Canis lupus familiaris: one gene and its partner. The protein of the gene in region 2 interacts with the protein of the main gene of each other region in a biochemical or structural test. Links are inferred from orthologs where the notes say so. Each region holds a gene or a part of one and is shown on either strand. Other genes may lie near its edges.

Region 1 (4,404 bases), about 10 Mb from region 2:
TTCCCCTCTGACACCCCCATCCTCCACCTCACTGGCCCCTGAACCCCTGGTCTTTTGAAGCCCCCATTTATCTCCTGACTTCCTAACTCTTGGCCAACCCCCGCCACCCCCCCTCCCCCCCAACACCAGCCAAAGGACACTGTGTCTATTCTGGGTGAGAATGGGTCCCTAACCTCCCCCCACTTCAGGCACTAATCAGGGCTAGACGCCAGGGCGACTGGGACACGGAGGCCGGGAGTTCCCATACGCGAGGGCTGAGAACAGGATGAGCTCCTTCCCTGTGGATTTTTAAAACAGATATTATTTTTATTATTATTGTGACAAGATGTCAATAAGTGGATATTAAAGAGAATAAACCACAGTCTCTCTCTTTACTGGGGTGTGGGGAACATCGCTCAGAGGAGCTGGGGGCTCCATGGGAAGGGGGCCTGGGTACCTAGGAGTGGAGTGCAGGATGCCAGGGCAAGGTACAGGCCCAGGAGTGGAGACCCACATGCCTCTGACCCCTGAGGCATGAGCAGAGACTGAAAAGGCAAGCTGCCAGGAAAAAAAAATCAATCTGCCCAAGGTCCAGCAGCAGCTACCTCATTTACCTAGGAGGCCGGCTTCCTCCTGCAGGTAATCCCAGGCTGGGAGGAGCAGGAGCCCTTCCTCTTGGCAGCTTCGGGACATTCAGCAGGTGCTGGCATAAGCCTGGCGGCCTGTGGGGTGGGAGCAGGCCCCAAGGGGAGCCCAGGGTCAGTCGGCAGGACGCTGGGGCCCAGGAATATGAGAACCTGCACCCCAGGGGCCAGGGCAGGAATCCTACAGTGGTAGGGTGCTTGGGGCTTTCTCTTTCTCTCTCTGACCAGAGCCTTATGTAAGAGCTTTTCTCGGGAAACAGGAAGTCCTGCTTGCCAAGTTCAGCACAGGGAGTAGTACAGGCCTTATTCCAACACACCCGGCCTGGCCTTAACCCCAGAACTCAGCCCGTCTCTTGCTTCCGCGACCCTGGTTCTCCTTCCCATCTGCCCCCCTCCTCTCCTTTTCCACCTTCAGTCATTCCTGGCCGACTTGTCCGAGGATCTCTGGGGTGTCTGAGCCAGAGGGTCTCCCGCCCTCACCCGTGACCCCCAAGGCTGCCCAGCTTGTCCCTCCATCCCTGCTCTTGGCACCATGCCCCGTAGCCAGCCAACCTTCCCTCCCCCACTTCTGGGGCCGTCCCAGGATTCCTATGCTCCGGCCGCTCCTCCTGGGTGTCACTGGCAGTCCTGTCCTTCCTAGAGAGACTGACACCGAGTTCTCCTGACGCTGGAGGAGGGGGCGTCTCAACACAACACTGGCCCCACGGCGGGGTGCCAGGAGCACCAACAGTGCCCCTTGCTGGCTCTCCTCCTCCCTTTTTTCATTCTCAAGTTCCTTTTTATTCCTCCCTTGCGTAACGCTCCTCTTCCCTTCTGTACCCCCACCCTTCCCACCACCTCCTCGCCACCCCACTCCTGAGGCCACAGCCTTCGGCAGGGTCCCCAGCTCATGCCAGCCTCATCTCCTTCCTTGCTAGCCCCCAAAGGGCCCCCAGGAGACATGGGGGGCCCAGTCCGAGAGCCGGCACTCTCAGTCGCCCTCTGGTTGAGTTGGGGGGCAGCTCTGGGGGCCGTGGCTTGTGCCATGGCCCTGCTGACCCAACAAACAGAGCTGCAAAATCTAAGGAGAGAGGTGGCTCGGCTGCAGAGGACTGGAGGGCCCTCTGAGAAGGAGGAAGGGTATCCATGGCTGAGCCTCCAGGAGCAGGTGAGTGAGGGGAGCTGAGGATGGGTGGCAGGGCTGGGTCGGGGCCTCTTGGGTCTAGCCTCCCGGTCTGTAAAGTTTTGAGTAGGTGCAAGAGAGGGTCCCAGGTTTGGAGGTCAAGGGAGCAGCCATTCCAGGAAAGGAAATTGTTAAAGATTAATGCTTCTCATGTCTACCAGATCCTGGAGGACAGCCAGCGCCAAGACTCAGGTCGCTGGGGAAAAGTGCAGGAGTGATGTGAGGCGCTCCTGGGGCGGGGGCAGGGGTGGGCGTGGAGGGGCGGCCGGGAGGAAGAACTGTTGGGGGCCCTTGCTTCTTAGCCTAACCCTGACCCTCTTCCCATGAGCAGAGCCCTGATGCCCTGGAAGCCTGGGAGAATGGGGAGAGATCCCGGAGAAAGAGAGCTGCACTCATCCATAAACAGAAGAGTGAGGCCTCCGGGGTGCAGCAGGGGTGGGAGGTGATCAAGCAGCATGGGGACCTCGAGATTGTTGCCCTGAGCCAGGGTGAGGGTGGAGGGCTGATCACAGGGGGACGGGGCTGCTTAGATCTCCTCCTTCTCTCCTCAGAGAAGCACTCGGTTCTGCACCTTGTCCCCATCAATATCACCTCCAAGGGTGAGCACTGTTTTAAATAATGGCTTTGGGGGAGGGGCCAGGTCGGGGAACTTTGGAGCTGGCACCTGAGCTTGAGAGAATCCTGGAGGTGAAAAGTCTCTGAGAACGTGCACAACTCCTGACTGCCACACTCCTCACCTCCAGAGGACTCTGATGTGACAGAGGTGATGTGGCAACCGGCTCTTAAGCGTGGGAGAGGTCTGGAGGCCCAAGGATATGTTGTTCGAGTCTGGGACTCTGGAATTTATCTGCTGTATAGCCAGGTAATCCCACACATACCCTAAGCCTTGCCTGGGGGCCAGGAGGTCTGTTCTCCCAGGACTTGGATGCCCTGGTCCTGAGGGTTCCCAAACCCTCTGTTCACAGCACTTGGAAGACCCTCCTTCATTCCTTGGCTCCCCTGTCCAGGCTCCCGAGCCTCCCAGTACTGAGCCCTACTTTCTCACTTCCTTCAGCTTCTCCTCCATTCCCTGCCAGGTCCTGTTTCATGATGTGACTTTCACCATGGGTCAGGTGGTGTCTCGGGAGGGCCAGGGAAGGCAGGAGACTCTCTTCCGATGTATCCGAAGCATGCCCTCCAACCCCGACTGGGCCTACAATAGCTGCTACAGTGCGGGTGAGAGGCCTGTGGGCACAGAGGGCGGCTCTGACCCCAGGGGGGTTAATGACCAGGCCACCAGGCCAGGGGGAGCGGGGCCTGGAAGCCCGGTGCAGAGGTGGATCTGGGGGATGCTGGCCAGGAAGCAGGAGGAAGGCTGAGCTGGAGAAGGGAGGGGAGGCACCAGAGGGTCCACCGCAGGACTGTGCTTCACCTAGTGTGTATCTTCTCCCGTTTCTCAGGTGTCTTCCACCTGCACCAGGGCGATATTCTGAGTGTCACAATCCCCCGGGGAAGGGCGAAACTTAGCCTCTCTCCGCATGGAACCTTCCTGGGGTTTGTGAAACTGTGATTATGATACGGATGGTGGTTTTGAGCTCGGAAGACGAGGGTGGGTAATACTGGACACAGCCACGAGCTAACAGGAGCAGAGGCCTCTTCTGGGTTTGACCTCAACCCTGGGTTGGACGGCTCATCCATCTCCCTTCCTCCCTTTGCCTCATCGCGCCCTCACCTTCTAGACTTCGCTTTCACGGATATTAAAGAGGTGTAACATCTTGCTTTTGTCCCCCATCCAGCCCCATATTCTTGGGGGAGGTAGGGGTGGCGGCGGGCAATGCCAGGCCGTGTCTAGACCCACTTTGGGTCCCACTGGAAGGCTTCCAGAACAGCACCACCACCTAGCGGCAGCCTGGGAGAGTCCGCCTGCCTGCTGGCAGACGTCCACGCAGCCTCCCTCCACTCGGAAAGACTCGTGGCTCCCCAGGCCACACCTGTCCCCAGGTACCCGCTGCCTCCTCGCCGCACAAGCAGCCTCACCCCCCACTCCCCTCCCCGGCTGTGGGGCGCCCCGGTTTCCACCACGATCTCCGGGGGAGGGGGTGCTTGTTAGGCGCCCGACGACGACGCTCCCCGTGCAGCCACACTCCTCCCTCGGGTGGTGCCAAGTTTTGCCTTTCGTGCTGTCCGCCCGCCGGCGTGGGGGCCCCTGTGGGCTGGGCTGGGCGGCCGGGGAGCGTGGGTCAAGCGTGCGCCCTAGGGTTGGCCTGCCTTCACTCCTCTGGGCTCTTCTTTCCGCTCAAGACCCGCTTAGACTTCAATAAAAGAGAATAAACGGCTTCCAGTGCCCTCGCTGCCCTCCCCCCACCCCGCCTGCGCCCCCAGGGGACCCAGGTCCCGCCGCCCCGGGGTCCGGGCCCGCAAGCGCCTAGGAGCGCTCCCGGCGGGACACGCAGCAGCGGACAGCACGCACGCGCAGGCGGGATAGCGGTGGGACCGCCGCGCGCGGCCCCGAGCAGCTAGCGTGCGCAGGCGCAGCCGGGCGCAGGGCTCGGGGGGCGGGACCGTCCCGTGGCGTCTGCGCCCCCGGGTAGGCGGGACTAGGCGCGTGCTGGCCGCGCCGGCGCTGTTTGCCGGGTGTGA
Region 2 (4,102 bases):
CCCATTTTCAAGGGGCTGGAGAGTTCCATGAATATATGTGGAGTGATACAACAAGTATTCCACTTCATTAATGGATAGTGGTTCGGAGTCACGGTTTTGAAGTCAGAGAGTCCTGGTTTAAATCCACTGTTACACTGTGTGAGCTTGGGCAAGTCACTCAGCCTCTCTGAACTCCACTCAATCAGTATTGATGAATCACTCACTATGTGTCAGGCATTGTGCAAGATTCAAATAAGGAAAGGAACTTGCGGTCCAAAGGGTCAAGACAGACATGAAACAAATGCACACAAAAGAACGTTACGCAAATCATGGGAAGTTCCATCAAGGAAAAGAATAAGTTATGAAAAAAGAACAGTAGACAAAATATCTTTTTCAAGACAATCAGAGAAAATTGGATATAGCCTGAATACAGAGGGTGTTAAGGAATTATTGCCGGGGATGATAAGAGATAAAGGTTGTATTTTGAAGGCTCTTCATGATCTAGTATTTACAGGTAAAATTATATGAATTCTTGGATTTACTTTACACTATACCAGCAAAAAAATGGTTGGGGAATAAAACAGCAGATTTTTAAAGCTGATGATTGGCAGAAATGGATTTATTATGCTATCCTTTCTGCAATAATTCCTATAATAAAAAATTTCAAAAGAAAGTCAGAACAGAGGAAAACAAAGGAGGGCCTCATTTCTATTGGACAGGTAGGTAAGACTTCTGACATTTGGCCTCAGACCTGAAGGTTGAGTAAGAGGGAGCTGAGGGAAGAATAACAGGGAAATGCATTCCAAGCATAGGGTACAACATGTGCAAAGGCCCTGAGGCAGAAAAAAAACCCCACAGCATGTTCAAGAAACTGCAAGGAGGCTAGTGTAGCCAGAGCAGAAAGATTGAGGGGTAAAGAGGTGCCATGTTCTACATCTCCTTCTACCATCTCCTTCTCAGCCACCCAAGCGCAATAGGGCCTGGGGGACCTCTAGAGGGAAGGAAGGGGTGATCCAGCCCATGGGGCTCAGGCCCCAGAACTCACTGCAGAATGCTGCACAGGTACGAGGAATCTGATGGCTGCAGATGGGTTTGCAAGAGAGGCACATGTTCAGCAGGGGATCCCAGTACTGTTCTTCAGGGCAGGGCTCCATGGCCATCCCCATCCGCAGGCCCTGTGGAGCTGAGAGGCAGGGAGCATGAGGGCAGCTGGCACCCTGCTACGGGTCAGAACACAGATAGCCTCTCCCACTCACATTCTACTTTGTCTCAGCAAGCAGAGGAGGAACCGGACAAAGCTAGCTTCCAACCCCAGCTGCATCTGCTGGGGGCCTGGGGCAGCCACCTCATTCCCTCGAGCCTCAGTTTCTGTATTTGTGAAATGGCTGTTCGAGGCTCCCTCTCTCAGATTACCTGTGCCCTGCTCAGCCCTGTTCTTTGCCTACTGTGGTTCTTTCTACCACAGTACCTTTGCATAAAATGCTCTTCTTCCCTGCCCTTCTGCTGGCTATTTTCTCCTGATCCTTTAGATCACTGTTTCAATTTCATTTCCTCAGAAAAGCCTGATTCTCTTTCCCAGATTAAGACACACCACTTCTTCTGTGCAGTGATGTGTCCTTCACTTGTCACCGCTTTCACTTCACTTTTATAACTGTGACTATTGGATGCTGTCTCCCCCATTATCTGTGAGCATCATGCAGGCAAGTACTCTAATTTTTTTGTTCACTGCTGGGTCCTCAGAACCTAGATAGTGCCCAGGACATAGTAGGTGCTCATTAAGTGAAGAAAAAGAAAAGCATATCTAGCCAGTGGCTAGCGTACAGAAAGCATTCAATAAATGTCCTTTTCTTCCATTTTTTCTTTTTTACTGAAGTACGAGACACACTCAATGATGTGTGTAAAGTGCACAAATCTGAAGTATGCAGCTTGATGTATTTTTCCATATGTATATACCTGTGTCACTACAGCCCACATCAAGGTATAAGGTATAGATATTTTTTGCACCCTGAAGACTCCCTTGGGTCTCCTCCCCATCCAATACTTCCAGAGGTAACTTGTACTCTGATTTTTATCACTGTCGGTTGTTACTATTGCCCATTCTTGAACCTTTGTGTCCTGTTTTGTTGGCGCCACAAGATATCTGAAACACATCTCAGTTGAGGCTCCATCAGTCATTTGTTTTGTATGCTAAGTCTTCCTTTATATGAATGCATCACTTTTTCTATAATTTTCTGCCTGATTTCATGATACTTGCTTCACCAAAAATGTTTCCTTTGTTTTTTTTTTTAAAGTTTAACTTCATGTGACGGAAGTTTTTAATTTTTCAATTTTTAAAAAATATTTTATTTATTTATTTATTCATGAGAGACACAGAGAGAGATTGAGAGACACAGACACAGGCAGAGGGAGAAGCAGGCTCCATACAGGGAGCCCAACGTGGGACTAGATCCTGGGTCTCTAAGATCACACCTTGGGCTGAAGTCGGCGCTAAACCGCTGAGCCACCCAGGCTGCCCAGTTTTTCAATATTTTAATGGATTTATTTATTTATTTGAGAGAGCAAGTGAGCAAGAGAACACAAGTGGGGGAGAGGGAGAAGCAGGCCCCCCGTTGATCAGGGAGGACAAAGAGCCAGATATCAGGACCCTGAGATTGTACCCTGAGCTGAAGGCAGATGCTTAATTGACTAAGCCACCCAGGCATACCCCCAAATGTCTCCTTTTAAACATTTTGCAAGGTGCTTGCTTACTCTTCATTGAAAGTAAGCTGGGAGAAGACCAGTGGCTCCTGGTTTAATGTAGCAGCTTAAACACATGGACTTATCTTTCTTCCCTCCTGAAACCCTACTAAAAGGAGAAGAAAAGATACCTGTCCTCAAAGAGAAAGAGAATGGAAAAAAGTTATTGCAGCAGGGGACAGGTGTGAGCAATACTTTGGAATATGGAAGGCATGTGACCTGGGATGACTGACTTTAGTTAAAGGTCTCAGGGACAAGGAAGCTGATTTGAGCCACAGAACTCCAGGAAGTCTCTGGAATTGGAGGTACCAAGTTTAATGACAGTGGGGAATGGCAAGGCAAGACAATGGAAGAAAGACTGGTTGGAAATTTATACAAAGAGGGCCTGACCCCAGGTAAATCCCATCCCAAGCATGTAATGGCCTCTGGAAAAACCAAGCAAAAGTTTGGGGGTCTTCTGAGACACAGCTGAGGGTAGCCATAAGGTCCACTCTCCCCAAAACACAACCTGAGGAGTGCTGTGGCCAGGTTTTTAAGAATGTCTCCTTCCCCATCCTGCAGCCAGCAGGAAATCAGCAGATTCTGAGAAAACTGATCCAAAGGAAGAGGCCTAAAGGCACTGACTGGGAGATTCTCTCAAGAAAATGATCAAGTTTGCTCCTTGACCATCTGACAGCAAAGCTGCTTTATTAACGGCCCTGTTTGTTTACCCAGAACTTCCAATCAGCTCTTTCTGCCTCAGTCTGAGCTGTGAATCAAGAGCCACCTGATCTGAAAGAGAACTCAAACAAAACAAGCAGAAAGAACATACTGGGAGCCAAGAGAGACAATAGGGAGAGAAAAGACATGAAAATTATGGAATTATTTCAAGAGGTTCAAAGGTTGAACTAATGGGAATTCTAGAGAAAACAGATTTCAAAGACATAGCTTCCAGATTCAAAGAGCCAGTCAGATGTCTGATATAATAAAATCTCAAGCCATGACCCATCATCATAGAATTTAGGGGAACCAGAAATTAAGAGCAGATTCTAAAATCTTTTTTGACAATAAGCAGGTTATCCACAGAGTTTTGTGAGGACGTCAATGGACATCTCAAATCAAAACTGGGATGTGAGAGCAATGTCCAGGAAGATGGTAGAGTAGAAGCTCTAGTAATCTGCTTTTCCACCTAACAGCTATCAAGCTGGCAGCAACCATCTTGAAGTAACTGTTTTGGAACTCTGAACTTATCCAGGAAAGAGCTGGATGAAGAGACTGGTGAATTTTTGAAATTTTGGTGCATTTCAGCCTATTTCATGGTGGTGGCTACCATTCCTCACGTATGCAGTGGCGGGGGGTGGGGTGGGGCAGAGTTGCTCATATTGCTGGTCCCCTAGATGGGCAATAA

What was found. The genes of interacting proteins can lie anywhere in the genome.
Region 1: the proteins of TNFRSF13B (region 2) and TNFSF13 form a complex in vitro, tested with the Homo sapiens proteins (2 studies listed by BioGRID and IntAct). The link is inferred for Canis lupus familiaris from reciprocal best matches to the Homo sapiens genes TNFRSF13B and TNFSF13.

The regions. Positions count from the first base shown.
Region 1 is NC_049226.1:32,689,938-32,694,341, forward strand, and holds TNFSF13 (tumor necrosis factor ligand superfamily member 13), read left to right. Parts: upstream 1-1,487; 5' UTR 1,488-1,512; coding exon 1,513-1,770; intron 1,771-2,116; coding exon 2,117-2,195; intron 2,196-2,336; coding exon 2,337-2,384; intron 2,385-2,528; coding exon 2,529-2,647; intron 2,648-2,861; coding exon 2,862-3,000; intron 3,001-3,224; coding exon 3,225-3,334; 3' UTR 3,335-3,555; downstream 3,556-4,404. UniProt on the Homo sapiens protein: Cytokine that binds to TNFRSF13B/TACI and to TNFRSF17/BCMA. Plays a role in the regulation of tumor cell growth. May be involved in monocyte/macrophage-mediated immunological processes.
Region 2 is NC_049226.1:42,680,024-42,684,125, reverse strand, and holds part of TNFRSF13B (tumor necrosis factor receptor superfamily member 13B), read right to left. Parts: intron 1,163-4,102; coding exon 1,025-1,162; intron 1-1,024. UniProt on the Homo sapiens protein: Receptor for TNFSF13/APRIL and TNFSF13B/TALL1/BAFF/BLYS that binds both ligands with similar high affinity. Mediates calcineurin-dependent activation of NF-AT, as well as activation of NF-kappa-B and AP-1.